Xenopus tropicalis: one gene and its partner. The protein of the gene in region 1 purifies or fractionates together with the protein of each later gene. This does not show direct contact. Links are inferred from orthologs where the notes say so. Each region holds a gene or a part of one and is shown in the gene's direction. Other genes may lie near its edges. The genes, in order: lgals1.1 and fn1.

What was found.
Region 2: the proteins of lgals1.1 (region 1) and fn1 purify together in Homo sapiens (affinity purification with mass spectrometry; 3 studies listed by BioGRID and IntAct, with this or other methods). This does not show direct contact. The link is inferred for Xenopus tropicalis from reciprocal best matches to the Homo sapiens genes LGALS1 and FN1.

What each region holds. Positions count from the first base shown.
Region 1 is NC_030680.2:122,672,764-122,677,338, reverse strand, and holds the start of lgals1.1 (galectin-1), read left to right. Parts: upstream 1-1,639; 5' UTR 1,640-1,735; coding exon 1,736-1,744; intron 1,745-4,575. UniProt on the Homo sapiens protein: Lectin that binds beta-galactoside and a wide array of complex carbohydrates. Plays a role in regulating apoptosis, cell proliferation and cell differentiation. Inhibits CD45 protein phosphatase activity and therefore the dephosphorylation of Lyn kinase.
Region 2 is NC_030685.2:58,721,813-58,725,631, reverse strand, and holds part of fn1 (fibronectin precursor), read left to right. Parts: coding exon 1-83; intron 84-376; coding exon 377-571; intron 572-1,749; coding exon 1,750-2,022; intron 2,023-2,199; coding exon 2,200-2,466; intron 2,467-3,323; coding exon 3,324-3,418; intron 3,419-3,819. UniProt on the Homo sapiens protein: Fibronectins bind cell surfaces and various compounds including collagen, fibrin, heparin, DNA, and actin. Fibronectins are involved in cell adhesion, cell motility, opsonization, wound healing, and maintenance of cell shape.

The sequences.
Region 1 (4,575 bases):
AAGTATAGTAGGGTAGGATGGATACAGTGTTGCCCAGCATATGGTCCCTTGGTTGTTCTTGATGCTGGGAGCTGTAGAAAGCTGAGGGGTCGTAGTTCATGCAGACCTACTTCATATAAATTATTGGCCCCTGCAAAATGTGTTTTGTGTCAGATTTGCTCTGAAAGATGACAAATGTGCATAGATTTATGGGCAGAGAATTACCATTTTTGATTCTTGCAGTTTGAGATGTGTAATAGAGTTTAATCTATTTAATAAAGTGGGGGGCTGAACCTGTACCTGGTTAAGTTATCCCATACAGTAGGTAAACCAACCTTACTGAGTTGAAGGACTGAGCAAGCTAATAACCCAGGAGCCAGCACACAGTCAATGGTGGGTGGTAGATAACAAATAGTTGTTTTACTTCATTATCTGTAATTACATGGACAAATCTGTCTTATTAGGGTGACCCTTATTGGGAATTACTTGACTAAAACAAGCCCATTCTCATTTCTGTCTTTTGGCCCTTAATCGCCTCATTTATAAGGTAGCAAAGTGCCTGGTCAATGGCAAACATAAGGTACAGGGTACTTTGTGTCTTAATTGTAAGTCATATATAACAGTTGTAAGTATTGAAAATAGGCACATGATAATGGAAAAGAGGGTAGGACAGAGCATTTGTAGCAGCCATTCGAGGGTATATTATTTACATATAGGCTTGAGAAGATGAACTGACTTGTTCCACAGTGTTGACAACATAAGATTGAGGGATCCAGTCACTGCAGTTAGCTTCTAAGCCAGCCCCTGTTTCTTGAAAAATAATAGTAGGACCACAGATAAAGGCAGCTATACACTGGCTGAGCCTTCAAGGTATCTAACCTACAGGCCAGACAAGTCTAAATTGCACAACTGTCTGCATACAGGGAAGAGGAGCTGTGACCCATTTTCACTTCCTTATCTGCTAAGGTACCGGGTAGCCCCCAAGCCAGACCGATTATCTGAAAATGATGGGTCATAAGATGGTCTGCCAAAGTGAAGCCCTAAGCTAACATAGATGTCAAGTCAACTGAGCAGTATGGCTGACATCCACCAAACAATCCAATCAGATCTCTTTCTTTAAGAGTATGGCAGGGTCACTCAATGTAAATGCCAGGACAGTCAAAAGTCTCTTAAACAAAAATGGCTTTTATTCAGCCAGCAGCAACATACGAAAAATAAATGCAGTTTTGATTCAGCAAAACAGTTTAAAAAGAAAGGGCAGCTTACTTCAGGCGGATACAACAAAAATACAAAGGCTTTACCGACCTATTTCCTTTCAAATAGCTTTCTCTTTATGGGTTCCTTCCCTAATAATAACATCCTTACTTTTATTAAACAACAACAGGCTAATAATCTAATTAGGATTTGCAACTGTATGAATATTTCCTCTGTCTCTCTCTCACTTGTGTGTTGTTCATGTGCTTTTATTCTGAGTAGTCCGTGTAGCTCAGTTGTAGAAAAATTGGGTTCTGCAAGCTTTTATTTTTTTTTTATTCTTCTCGGTTTTGTTAGACTTTCTAAAGTCTAAACGCATCATATGGAAAGTATGTCATGCAGATTCTCTCCCTCTCTACCTCCTTCCTTTCATTTGGGCTGGACCAATGTTGCAACACCCCTCATCGCTAGCTTTTATGATTGGGTAAGGGTGGGGTCCATGCCAAAGATATAAAGCCAACCAAGCTAGAGGTACTGAACCAGAAGCATTGGACGTGGAAAAATGGCAGCTGTAAGTATTGCAATGATGGCTGTGTGTGTGAATACGTAGGGTGGGCACTGGGTGTGGGCATTTATGGTTAAACAAGCAAGCACTTGGGGGAATTTTGATTATAACTGCATTTACTATATTCCTTGTCATAAAGTTCTTTTCTTCACTTTTTGTAGGAAAGTTTTTATTTGTATTGGCTAATTGTATATGTGCTTTAATTCCATATTTTCCCAACTTCCCTATGTCACACTTCTGCATTCTGCATTTATCTCGCGTCTGTCTTTGTTCCCTTTTCTACTTTTCTTTTGTTTAAATTCTTTTTCTGTTCTTCCCCTCCAACCCCTCCCTCTTCTTTCTGGCTTCCCTAACGGAACATTATTCCTTGGCGTGGGACTGAGAAACTGCAGTCCGTGCAGCTAATTTATTGTATAAAAATAAACCATATTTGGAGAAATCAAACTGCGGAGCTGCCACACCCAGTGCACCAGGAGTAGCGCAATGACACGTAACAGCCCACCCAGAAAGTCCAGAGCATCTGTATCTATAATCTGGAACTGGAAATATTTGTAGCCTATAGGGGCTTGGGTACCCAGAGGAAACGCAGACACGGCAGCTTAGTGGTTAGAAGAGATTCCTTGCGGTGATGGGGTCCTGAGCCTGAATGTTCTGTCTGTTCCAACTTCCTCTAGTGCTAATAACTAAATACAAAACAGATTCTCTGATATAATTATATGTTAAATGCAATTAGTAGAGCTGCTCTTGCTGCATGTTTTTTTTTATAGTGTGCCCTTTTGATAATGCATTAAAGGGAAAATATACCCCCGTTTAGACATAAGCTCATTCATTTAGGTTTATGTAGAAAAGGTGCATAAATACTATCTGAACTTCCAGATATAAATGTATTTTTTTACACAGATATACCTGATTTCTCAGATTAAATGGAAACCATTGTCGTCTTTCTCATACAAATCATTTCCCAACCTCCCTTAGGCTCACACTGTCATGCGACCCCTCCCTCACCTTATTCTATTGTGAACTGATTCATTCTGGGACTTAAAGTCCCTCTGCTTTCCAGGTGTAGCCCACTTTATAAACAGATGTGGCACTACCTGCTGATATATCACTATACTTGGCGCTTTCAGGAGTCCTGAGCCCCGCTTACTTTGGGGAACAGCTATTACTCTGTACTTTGGCGTGCCTCCACCCAGGATAGGGATAGAATGAACTATAACTCCCCTCCTGGGAACTTGATACTGTACTGCAGTGTGGGGACTCCCAGCACTCCTGGCACCTTGCCCCCTCCCTGGGGTAGTTGCTTACCAGGCAGGTGGATCCTCCAGATATGCAGAGACAGGACACTGGATTGATGTTTAACCAGTGGAACTTATTTATTGTCACAGATGTATCAGACAGGCAGGTTGCATACAGGAGCAATGAGACAGTCAGGGTACAATCCCTCTTCCTTAAGAGACCCTCTCTCCACGAGATATTAGCAGTACTACACGCCAGATGATTCCCTTTAGGGGTTCCCTCCGGTACTTCTCGCCAGAAGCCCCTCTTTAGGGCACTTCCCGGTACTTCTCGCCAAGCGGACACCCCCTCAGCAGACCTCACCCCGGTACTTCCACTTAGATACCCCGGGATTAGGCAAATCTCCTACACTTAGCACTTTATACCCTGACTCCAGCTATGAGTGCTGGTGGATCTTAATCCAGTAAATCCTCCTGTCGGGGCCACGCTGCCCAGCTAGCTTGCCTGTCTCCCACTCCTAGAGTGGTCTATAACAAATCTCTAACTGTCTAACTCTGACCTGTTGTTAAACTCTTCTCCAAGAGGGGTCCCAGGCTGAAAGACCTGCAGGCACATGGCTGCACAGCCTTATATACTGTGTGCACCCTGTGGCCTAAGTATTGAACTGCAGGAGAAGCTAACTCCCTGTTAACCCTTATAGTGCCAACCACCCAAGGTGTCCCACTACTAAAGTACTACCCTCCCTTGGGGTCTATCCCGGGGCAACCATCCTAGGGGACCCAAAATTTGGGGAACCCTACACAGGCAATTTGAGTCCAACACACTATGGAAACAGAGGGGCATAAAGACTCCAAATCCATCACTTCCCAGTGGAACAAGGTGCGGGATGGGCTGTATAATAAAATGGGTTGGAAAATGCTTTGTACAAGTTCGGTATAGACTAATCAGTTATGTCTAAAAAACACATTTATATTTATTTGCGGAATCTCCGATGTTTATGCAACCAACTGTACCTAATAATTTTCAGCTGGTGTAACTACCATGCAATTCAGGGGGGGAAATGCTGCATTTGGGGGGAAAATATATTTTGTACTTTACCCTAAATAGTAAATAAGAGCCCTACTAAAATCATGCCAGTTTAAAATGATAAGCATTGATTTGGGAGCTTCTGACCTCTCTGCTGCCTGAGGGGACAAACCCAGTGCCACCCATGCACTTCCCATTCCTGCACTCAGAGCGGGCCCCAGGGCCAGGGAAACGTGTCTGTTACAGTGGCTGCAAAGTGCCGCTCGTGGCAAGGTTCTCTGCTTGTCTCATTGTCAAATACCTCTGTGAATGGCATCCACTACAGATGACACCTGGGCCTCCATTCCCTACCCCTTCTTTCATTTACATATGCCACACCCATGCAAGTCAGGGAAGGACAGAGGAAAACTTTGTGCTTCAAAATGGAGATGGTCACTGTCTATAGAATGGGGCCTGAAAACATGCAGACACTGGCACAGATTGTGCTGATGGAGGAAAAAAGTTGCAATTACTAACTGCAGCCCCCCTCCCTTTAATATTAACTCAGTATTTATCATATTATACTGCTTTTTTTA
Region 2 (3,819 bases), on another chromosome or scaffold:
TGCACCCCCCGACCATAATGTGGAAAATGTTGATGACACCTCCATCCTGATCAAATGGACCAAACCTCAAGCTCCCGTCACAGGTACAAACTCCTTTCCTGAGACCAAAGGATGTAATTTGCCAAGGTACCAAGACTTTAGGTCCTCTGACTCCATGCAGTGCTACCACTATGGTCTCCTATTTTTATTGGGCGCTGGACACTCCAGGCTGCTTTGCAACCTAAGCATAAAGAATATTAAAAAAATAAGCTCTACCAATCTGCACATTTTTTCATTGGTTCAAAACAATAAATGGTTTGCATTGATTAGTGATTCATTTTTAAAGTGTCATATTCACCTATTAATCACTAAAATATCCTTCATATGCTGTTTTCAGGATACAGGGTTGTATACAGTCCATCTGTAGAAGGCAGCAGCACAGAGTTAAACCTCCCAAGTACTGCAACTTCAGTGAGCCTGACTGAGCTGCTCCCAGGAATTGAATACAATATTACAATCTATGCAGTGGAAGACAGTTTAGAAAGTGTTCCCATCTTTATTCAGCAAGGGACAACTGGAACTCCACAGACAGGTAATGCCTGACATGTTTGAATGCCAAATAGCACTGCCTTGATTAAGTATAAACCATTTTTTTTCTTTCTTGCTTAGTCAAGTGACGGTACCAAAGGGGATAAAAATGTACCTGAAATACCCATGAAATGCTGAGAAAGAGTAGTATGTAGGGAATGCATTAAAGTGATACTCGGTGTAGACTGAGTGTGATAAAATTCATGTGGTCTGATTTCAGATCCTACTACTAAAATAAATTGCCAACATTCCCATGGGTGGCAAGGGCTTACACCAAAGTTTGGCTATTAAAACGTGCAGTGGGCAATCACTGCATGCAATTGTATCAAGAGTTCAGTGTGATGTGCAGAGCAAAGATAAGGGGAAAAAGTTGATATGGGGGGTATAGTTGATTTATGTGCTAGTTTACTGCTCACTTGGTTTTGGGGATTCCTATTATATATGAGGGGTAAAGGTGTTACTTGGGAATAAAAAAAAAGTAAAGCTTAATCTGCAAGAAAATTGCTGAAGACATTGGATGTTTTGTAACTTTGATAAAGCTCAAACATTTAATATATCTAACTTTTTTTTTTTATAAAATCTGAATACATTTTCTTAAGGATTTACTGTTCCACTGAATCTAGAAATAATGAGACTTGAGTGGATTTGTTTAAATCTTGTGCTTTTAATTCCTGGAAATAAGTGTGCTTCAAAAAGGCTGTATTTGCTTTTTTGGAATCTTGGTACCCTTAAATAAAGGCTTGTTGCGCTTGGCTGCCTGTCCTTTCCTCCAACAAGTCTTGCATCCCTGTAGGTGTTTGTGGTGGTGTAAAAATCCCAGACCTATATTTGTAATTCTGTGGCCTAATTTTAAAGTTCTGGGAGTAATCTAAGGTATGCTTTTATTAGCCAGTGGAGAAGCAGAAGAGAAGGAGGGTTTGTTGCAACCATGGGCCAGTTTTACAAATTAAAAGGGAACAAGTTTCTTTTAGGACCAGGTTTGACCCCTGTCAGGAAGGGTGTGCGGTCCTTGGCCAATATTAAACTGCGTACATGGGCAGATCTAACAACATAATTGCTGAAGTGTACTCTTGCACCAGTCTGAATTTAGATTTGAGCAGTCTACTATAAGTTAGTAAATATAAGCACAGAAGACTAAGTACATACTAATTGTGTTGGGGTTTTTTTTTCTATTTTTTTCAGTTATAGTACCATCTCCCACTGACTTACAATTAGTGGAAGTTACCGATATAAAAATTACCATCATGTGGAACCCCCCACAAAGTGAGGTTTCTGGATACCGAGTTGTTGTGAAACCTGTAAGTCCCTCTGACCGTGATGTGCAGAATCTCCCCGTGAGCAGGAACACTTTTGCCGAGGTGGTTAACTTGCACCCTGGCAGGACCTATACCTTTGAGGTGTATGCAGTTAATCGTGGACAAGAGAGTGAACCCCTGGCTGGAGACTTCACTACCAGTAAGTCATCTTCAGTCTCAGCTGCCTGCAGAGATGATCCAAGTGCCCATTGTGTCTTTAATTTTTTGTGTCAAATATTTTCCAGAAAGTAGCTGGCTGTGCCCAATCGTTTATGCCGTGCACGTGTCCACAGCCCTGTCCAATGGTGTTGACTAAAATCTTTGTTTTTGCATCCAGAACTCGATGCTCCATCAGACTTGCAGTTTACAGATGTAACTGACTCTACAGTTGTTATTATCTGGAGACCACCCCAAGCCAAAATTGGTCGTTACCTGCTGTCTGTAGGTCAAACCCGGGGAGGCCAGCCGAGCCAATTTCACATTAACCCCTCTGCCACAAACCACAAGCTGGAGAGTCTCTCCCCAGGCACAGAGTACACCATTTCACTTGTTGCCCTCAAAGGCAATCAGCAAAGTGCTAGCACTACTGGTGTCTTTTCAACATGTAAGTTGTGAAAAAGGTATTGTTTTTAAGGAATTTACTAAATGTGTAATTTTTGTTTTTAACTGAATTTCATTCTCAATTGGATAACTGGATCTGTATAAATTGTTGCCCTCATTTATTCAGTGGTAAAAGTCATGTGACTAAGGGTTTGGGTTTGTTTTGCTGAGCAGTATAAATTTGCAGGGATCCCAAACCAAATCCTGGATTCAATGCATCCCTTTCATGTCAAGAAAACATTTTCCTGAAGAGTATGGAATATAACTCATAAGTTTATAGTAGAAATTTTACTACAGTGGCAATGAAACAAATTGGTCTTGTAGAATTTAACAGTGAATTGGTTAGCAGTCCGAATAGATTTAGCTCTTCCTGTCAGTGAATGGGTTAAATATAACAGTATTCCAGGAATGTTTCACAGCCTCCCTTTAGCTTTGAAGTGTGTCCTTCTGTGGCATAAGCAGGCACATATGGCCTTTTTCAAAATTATATTTGATAATTTGTACTCTTCAAGATGTGGAGTGTATGTTTTCATCCATACTTCAATATATTTTAAATGGCACAGTGGGTTTAAATTCTGCAAGCTCTGTTGGACATGAAAAGCCTGGAGGAATATTGTTAGCTGCGGGTGCCTAACCACTTCAAGCGATTTTCTGGATGTAGGCTCAGGCAACTTCCAGGGATAATTTTTTTCAGTACAGACATAAATAAGCCGAAGAATTCCCTTGACTGAAAATGGAGTTAATATAAAATCGCCTCTCCACCATATAATCTTATTTAACTTTTTCTACCACATGCCAATAAAAATTCCTTGCACTATATAGTGGCTCATTATTTTGCTTTTATGTCTGTTTTTTGTCTAGTGGAACCTGTGGGATCAATTCCACCTTACAACACTGAAGTCACAGAGACTACCATAGTGGTAACTTGGACCCCTGTGCCCAGAATCGGGTTTAAGGTAGGTGATACATTTTTCTGTCAAAGTTATGAATTTACTCTACTGCCCATTGTATCACAGGCGATCCTTGAGACAAGATGGCAGTGCAGCAGTAGTTTTAGAACCCTGGGAAGGTGCATTTTTAGAAAAGAGGAGCACTGCTGAGCTTGTATGGTGTCCTGGCTGAAATCGGACTCCTTTGGTCAGATAGGGTAAAATGATGGTGTAGTTTGTGCCGTATTTAGCTTCATCTATATGATCAAAACCTCCAGTGCAAAAGCACAGACCTCGTTTATTTTATGAACTGTTTATACAACATATTAAAAAAACCTCTTACCAGTACAGCATCTGCAATTTTGCAAACTGCAAGTTAAAGCCTTATAAAACCATGCATGGGTTTTTCTTAGACAGATTCACCCTAA